Linked DNA regions of Saccharomyces cerevisiae S288C. The protein of the gene in region 1 purifies or fractionates together with the protein of each later gene. This does not show direct contact. Each region holds a gene or a part of one and is shown on either strand. Other genes may lie near its edges.

Region 1 (3,756 bases):
CTCTTCAAGATGTATCTGTGTGGTAGGTTCTTGAGGTGATTTAGAAAACGGCCTTCTGATATGTTTGACTAACCCTTGAATGCAACATCTTATTGTTCTCGATTAACTTTTGTCGCGCTGTTGAAAGGGATTCAACAAAACAATGCGCTCGTCTCTAACGATCAATGGTCTATTTATCGTGTAAGTATATATGACATAAACTTTACATATTACGAAGTCATTTTTAAAACTCGAGCTCCTTTTACTCAAAGCTTCTATATTTTACTTTGAGGTCTTCCGATAATTGTATTAGTACTCTCAGCCAATATATGCATCGACAAGTAGCTGGGCGGCTATATCACTAAATAGCTCGCAAAAAAATATTGCTTTTTTATGGCAGAAAAAAACATGTAAAATTGAAAGATAATATTAGTAATGGAAGTATAGATAATTGTATATAGTATTATAGATACATATATCAATACGTATGCATTAAGGACCCTATTTCATGGAGACCAATTTAACATCAAATGTCAATTCAGAGTTAGCAGGAATACCGGGCAAAGCTTGTTTACCGTAGGCATATGGAGCAGGAATGACAATTCTACGCTCACCACCGACCGCCATACCAGCAACACCGATGTCCCATCCTTTAATTACTTCGCCTTGGCCCAACTTAAAAACAAAAGGCTTACCCTTTGTATTCTTGTCAAAAACTTTCCCGTTCTTCAACTTACCAACATATCTCATTCCAACTCTGGTACCCTTTTTGGCATGTGGGCCTTTTCCTGTGACGCGGTCTTCAATGATAATACCGCCTTCCAGTAGCTTCGTCTTTGGCTTTGGTTTGCTCTCTTCCGAGTCTTTAACTTTCTCTGCTTTCTTGTCTTTCTTGGTCGTTTGTTTTTTCTCGGCAGGTTTAGCACTTTCTTCCTCATCTTCCTCATGTTTCCTTTTACTGTCCTTCTTGTTGTTTTTCTTCTTTTCGTCCTTTTTGACTAATTCATCAAGACGACTTTCGATGTCACTAGCATCTACTAAATCATCAAGATCGTCATCACCGGAACTTAGTTCCTCATCGTCCTCTTCTTCTTCTTCTTCTTCTTCTTCTCCATTGGAAGATTCTTCGTCACTGTAATAGTCTTCTTCATCTTCGTCTGAATCTGAAGAATTGTCGAATGGATGTTTGACGTAGTTACCGGTTAGAGAGATAGTGTATGAACCGGTAACGACGAATTGAACGTCTTCCTCTGGTGCAATGGTAATATCCAAAGCTTGTTGATATTGGCCTTTTGGAGATAAGGTTAAAAGAACGCATTCTTCGAATTCATCGTCGATTTCGTTTTCATCTTCAGAGTCTTCTGATTCACTTTGCTCGACTGCCTTACCTTTTTTTGATTTGACACTCCTTTTTGGTACATCTGCTTCTTGTTCACTTTCACTTTCATCCTCTTCGAGGCCGTCATTGTTATCTTGGTTGTAGTACTCACCGCGAGTGAGTTCAGGATTCCTTTTGATTATTCTTAAAGTAGATGGCTTTTTGTCATCGTCAAAGGGCTCAGGGTCGATGGCCGCCATTGTGATTCTAATGGTAACCGGAATTTTGAAGTTCAGAGCTGGGGTTGGGGAGTATGGTTCAACATTCAGGCTATACGTAGCCAATGGAAGCATATCAGACATGGTAGAGACGTATATTTTGTTGTCTTTTTCTTTTTTCTTATCATTCTAACATGAAAAGCACTTCTTTTAACACTGTAAAATTTTCAATGCCCTTCTCTTTTCGATGCACCAGCTAAAATTTTCACTGCCTCGGGTTTGAGATAAAAATATACATAGGGCATCGAAGGCAAGAAATTGAGAAATTTAACGTTCATATGGGTTAATGATTGTATGAGAATGTCTGACGAAGAATATTATTTTTGCTGAAGTTAAACTAAGAATTAGAATTATGACTTGATACACAATGCTACTTTCTTTTGGCCAAGCTATTTGATATAAAAGTATACGTAAATACAGAAAAAGGCAACAGTATGCAGGAAGTTATTCGTAGTTCTTTCGTCACTCGAAATAAAACGTACAACAGACTTAACTTTTACGCGTGTATTAAATATCAACGCACTAATCATACACCCCACTGAGGCAGGTTTAATCACAAAAATGTTGAGATTATTTGCCGCAGCAAACTTTAGCATCTGCACTGTAGTTGCTTCCCCAGCATCCACTTAGTATGGACAAATTGGGTTGTATGTTTACCTTTTACATATATAACATTATCGCTGGCAGGTTACAGAATTTATATGGTGGTTTTGAGAGAAGTTAACACATTGGGAGGACGACTCTGATTATACCTATTGCAATGGCTCGCTAGGACAGCATTTCCTCCACAGAGACTTTGCCTCAGTGCGGTTGGAGTAGACCATGCAGCTTCCAATGTAAATGAATAGATATAGCCTAGTGGCCCAGAACGGCGATGACCTGATCTTGAACCCTTAGATATTAATATTTATGATTTTTTGTATTTTGCTATGTAAGAGAAAAAAAAAATTATAGATACAAAAAGAAGGATATAGAAAAGCACAGATAATGTTGATAGGAAAAATGAATTAGAAGAGGATTAAACTTAGATTACATATCCACTTACCTTTCCGTTATTGTCAAACAGTATTTTCAGATCAACGCATTCTCTATCAATTCTCCTTGTTTTGAAATTCTATTTTAAATCATTTATAATTTTTTCAGTTCAATTTAGAATTTCAATAGGTGTGGCTTGTCACCGTTCTTCAAAGAGAAAGAAGCGGACAAATATTGCTTCAACAATGGGGTCTTCTTGATTTCAGCCAACAAAGCCTTGTCAACAACCTTTTGATCTTCAACACGTTCAGTCTTGATTTCCTTAGTTTGTTGTTCTGGGAACAAGTTAGCTTCCTTCTTTTCCTTCTTGGTCAATTTTTCCTTGGCAAAGTATTCAACGTTGAATTTTTCAACGTTGACACCTTCCACGGAGACTTTGGTAGAGGTAGCAATGACATAACGAGCGTTGACTCTTCTCAATGGAACACCATTGACCTTGAATGGACCAGTGACCAATAGAGTGTTGTCTTCTAGATGTTTCAAGTAGACAACTCTCTTACCTCTGAAACGGCCAGCTAGCAAGATCAAAACAGTGCCTGGAACTAGAGAGGCACGCAACTTTTGTGGGCGAACAGCCTTTCTGGTTTTCTTTGGGGCAGCAACGTCTTCGGAAGGATACCACTTTGGGGCCTATAATTGACATATCGTGATGTAAATCACATATATAGTTAGTATACTACTCGTTTACTTTTTTCTTGCACAATTGATGGTGGGCATGGCGTGTGCTGATTCAGCACAAGGTTTGGTACTATCCTCAAAAAAATTCTTAGCGTAGGAAGAAGTTTACTCAGATTAGCTATAATATGAGTTATTGTTACTATGTTTCTCAGTCATTTGATGCTATATTTTCATTTTTACTAAAATCGTTATTTTCATTTTGTCCAGTTTTGTCCAGTTCATATTTAAAAGGTTAGCTCCCTTCCTGCTTTTGTTCTTGGGTAACTATTTTCCTCTAGGCACGTGTGCCATCTCCATAACCATCACATCCTTCAATTTACTCATCTTTACACATACTTGTTGGGCAGTCATTTCGTTGAATATATTTGCTTCTCTTCCAAGTTCAAGAAAGTAGTCAAACCTAAATGAGATTTTGCTTGAAAATTATCTATTGACTTTTGATCAACTGCCATATTACAGGGCCTCGCG
Region 2 (3,756 bases), 870 kb from region 1:
TGTGTTTGTGTTCCCCTACAATTATACATTGGCTACATTTGCAAGAAGGAGAACGAAAAGCGTGATAAGGAACAAGAAGGTCAAGAAAGGAAGAAGTACCAATTTTTGGACTTGACTGATATCGAAAACAGAAATTTCAGGTACATTTACTAATAATCAACTTTTAATTTACAATATATAATATTTTTAGTCTGTAATATTCAATATTCAAAGACACCCAAACATTCATTGCACTTGGTATTTACCAAAAAATTGAAGAGAAAATTTTTGAGATGACCATGGATGAGGCAATGAAAGTCGAAATTTGATCCCCGCTACTAACTTCTAAACATATCGTCAGGACAATTGAGCTGAAAATGTCTAATCCAGATGATTTAGATGATGGACTCGCCTATGATTTTGATGCCGAACATGAAGTAATTTTTGACGCCAAGGATGGTAGTCCCCCAACCAAAAAGGTACAAAAGAGGTCTATAGAACAAGATGACGATGACGTTGATGATATAGATGGGAAAAAAGAGGAGAGAAATTCAGAAGATGATTCGAATAGACCTATTTCGAAAAGACAGAAAAAGCTACAGAAAAAATCAAAGCTAATTGAGAAAAAGAAAGAGGAAAGCCAGTATATCGTCTCACAACGAAAAGCACTTCCAGCAAGTTCACCAGAAAAAATTATTGAGTACCTAACAACTTTGATACGAGAAAAAAATCCTGACTTGAGTGTTTTAGAATTAGAGGAACTTTACTTCAAAAGAAATGATTTTCTTTCGACAGAAAAATTTGACGCTGAACGCAGATTAAGCAATTTCCCAGCCTTTATTCAAAAATTTTCCGTAGCTCCAAAAAAAATTGTTTTTTCTATGTCTAATATTAGAGTAGCAGACGTTTATCGTAGTCTAAACGGTGGCAAAAATTGCGTCAAATTATTCTCTAAAAGTAAACTAAAGGATGACATAGCCACCGTGGAACGTTTACTTACTGACAGCTCTAAAAAATCAAACAAAAATAAAGATTCACTATATTTTATTGCCACTCCAACAAGAATGCAGAAAATTATAGAAGCTACTGACTTACTTTTCCAAGGTAAGGAAAAGTTAGATATCATTCTTGATGCAAGTTATTTAGATCCTAAGGATAATACTATATTATCATTCGAGAATGCAGCCGTCCTCTGCCAAGTCTTGAAAACCTTTTTGAATAAAAAAAGCTCCGTGAAAATACTGTTATATTAATAATAGCGCTTTTTCACTGAGGTTCTACACATAAGATTACGTTTTTAAATACCAGCCTTAATTTAGTATATTAAATATTTCATTCTAGCATTTGATGGGGTACTTCAAATTATCTTCTTTAAATTGTCCAAAGCCCTTCCAAAAAGTAAAATCAAAGGAGAAACTTCGAGAACGCCTAGGCGCGCAGCAAACTCCATATATAACAATGTATTTTTTCTTTAACTACATAAAACCAATTTATCCTATTTTACTCTTTCCATGGAGTGTATGCTTTTTTGTAGTTACTTAGATTCAGAAATTCAATGTCTTCCCTCATTTTCTTCACCGTAGAGTAGACCATGGGACGTCGTTTTACTTTAGTTTTTGAATTTTTTCAGCGATGCCCGAAAACTGAAAATTTTATCTCATCTCATTCACCTGCCTGCCATATATAGTATTTTCATGGTATAAACTTGGCATTTTATGTCTTCAATCATAAGAGTATAATTCCGGGATAAAAGCTGGAGATATCATAGTAATAATGGCTAAGAGAAATAGATCTCAATTTCGCATTCAGGAAAGGACTGCAAAGAAAAGAAAGCACGAAGATTCCTTGTTAGAAGGCAATGTTTTCCAAAATGCACCGGAAGATATGGATGAAAATACCATATATAGCGCAAAAGGCTCATCCTGGGATGAAGAAGAACAGGATTACGAAATGGTTCCTCGGAAGAATCGGTCTGATACATCAAATCTTGTTGAAGGCCTGCCTATAAAAGTTAACGGTAAAGTTGAAAGAAAATTGCATAAAGCCCAAGAAAAACCAAAGGACGATGATGAGGAAGACGAAGACTCTAATGACTCTTCAGAAGATGATGAGGGACCTAATGAAGAACAAGAAGCAGAGGCAAAGGAGGATGAGCCTGATACGGAGGAAAAAATTCTGCAACTAAAAGAAGACATTGCCGATTTAGTCACTAAAGTTATGGAGGAGCCTGAAGAAAATACTGCTGCGTTGGGGCGTCTATGTAAAATGGTGGAATCTAAAAATCCTAATACTTGTAAGTTTTCCATGTTGGCTTTGGTCCCCGTGTTTAAGAGTATCATACCAGGCTATAGAATTCGACCACTAACTGAAACTGAAAAGAAGGAAAAAGTTTCTAAAGAAGTCTCCAAGCTTAGAAACTTTGAGCAAGCCTTAGTTTATAACTACAAAAATTACGTCGGAAGATTACAGAGTCTTTCAAAAACTCCCAGTAATGCTGCTCCTATACAGGTTTCATTAGGGATTTTGGCCACTCAAGCCGCAAAAGAATTGATTTCAACGGCATCCCATTTCAACTTTAGAACAGACATTTTCACTTTACTGTTGCGTAGAATTTGTAAACCAAGAATTTCAACAGATCCAACTTCCATTCAAATAATCCAGACATTTGAAACTCTATTAAATGAGGACGAAGAGGGCTCAATATCATTCGAGATACTAAGAATTTTCAACAAAATACTAAAGACGAGGAACTTCAACATCGAAGAATCTGTTTTAAATATGTTATTATCGTTAGATGTCTTACATGACTATGACCCTAATACTAAATTGAAAGGTAACGTTAGCGCTCCTAAGCTCAAAAAGAAAGATAGGGTCCATCTTTCTAAGAAGCAAAGAAAAGCTCGAAAAGAGATGCAACAAATTGAGGAAGAAATGCGTAACGCTGAGCAAGCTGTTTCTGCGGAGGAAAGAGAAAGAAACCAATCCGAAATTCTAAAAATCGTTTTCACTATATATTTGAATATCTTGAAAAACAATGCAAAAACACTCATTGGATCGGTTTTGGAAGGTCTAACGAAGTTTGGTAATATGGCCAACTTTGATCTATTAGGGGACTTCCTCGAAGTAATGAAAGAACTTATTAGTGACACTGAATTCGATAACCTTTCCTCTGCTGAGGTCCGTAAGGCTTTGCTTTGTATCGTTAGTGCATTCTCACTTATTTCAAATACACAATATATGAAAGTTAATGTGGATTTGTCCAAATTCGTCGATGGGCTTTACGCGCTATTACCTTATATCTGTCTTGATGCAGACATCGAATTATCTTATAGATCGCTAAGGTTGGCTGACCCACTCAATAACGAAATAATAAAACCATCAGTTAACGTTTCTACCAAAGCAGAACTTCTGCTAAAGGCTCTGGACCATGTATTTTTCCGCTCTAAATCAGGGACTAAAGAAAGGGCTACGGCGTTTACCAAAAGATTGTACATGTGCATCAGCCATACCCCAGAAAAAACAAGTATTGCCATTCTTAAATTTATTGATAAATTAATGAATAGATATCCAGAAATTTCAGGCCTTTACTCTTCCGAGGATAGAATAGGCAACGGTCATTTCATAATGGAAGCCGATAATCCTTCAAGGAGTAACCCAGAGGCAGCAACCTTATGGGATAATGCTCTTCTTGAAAAGCATTATTGTCCTGTAGTTACAAAGGGGCTACGCTCTCTATCATCTAGATCTAAAGAGTGTTCTAAATAGCTAGATCCTATA

What was found. Proteins that work in one complex are often made in the same cells at the same time.
Region 2: the proteins of FPR4 (region 1) and NOC3 purify together in Saccharomyces cerevisiae (affinity purification with mass spectrometry; 2 studies listed by BioGRID). This does not show direct contact.

What each region holds. Positions count from the first base shown.
Region 1 is NC_001144.5:1,028,737-1,032,492, reverse strand, and holds FPR4 (peptidylprolyl isomerase FPR4), read right to left. Parts: upstream 1,660-3,756; coding exon 481-1,659; downstream 1-480. Other genes in the region: 60S ribosomal protein eL6 RPL6B, read right to left, coding at 2,725-3,240, 3,625-3,639. UniProt on the Saccharomyces cerevisiae protein: PPIase that acts as a histone chaperone. Histone proline isomerase that increases the rate of cis-trans isomerization at 'Pro-17' (H3P16), 'Pro-31' (H3P30) and 'Pro-39 (H3P38) on the histone H3 N-terminal tail.
Region 2 is NC_001144.5:154,331-158,086, reverse strand, and holds NOC3 (Noc3p), read left to right. Parts: upstream 1-1,752; coding exon 1,753-3,744; downstream 3,745-3,756. Other genes in the region: THI73 (Thi73p), read left to right, coding at 1-153; CMS1 (Cms1p), read left to right, coding at 357-1,232. UniProt on the Saccharomyces cerevisiae protein: Required for synthesis of 60S ribosomal subunits and the transport of pre-ribosomes from the nucleoplasm to the cytoplasm. Also required for initiation of DNA replication.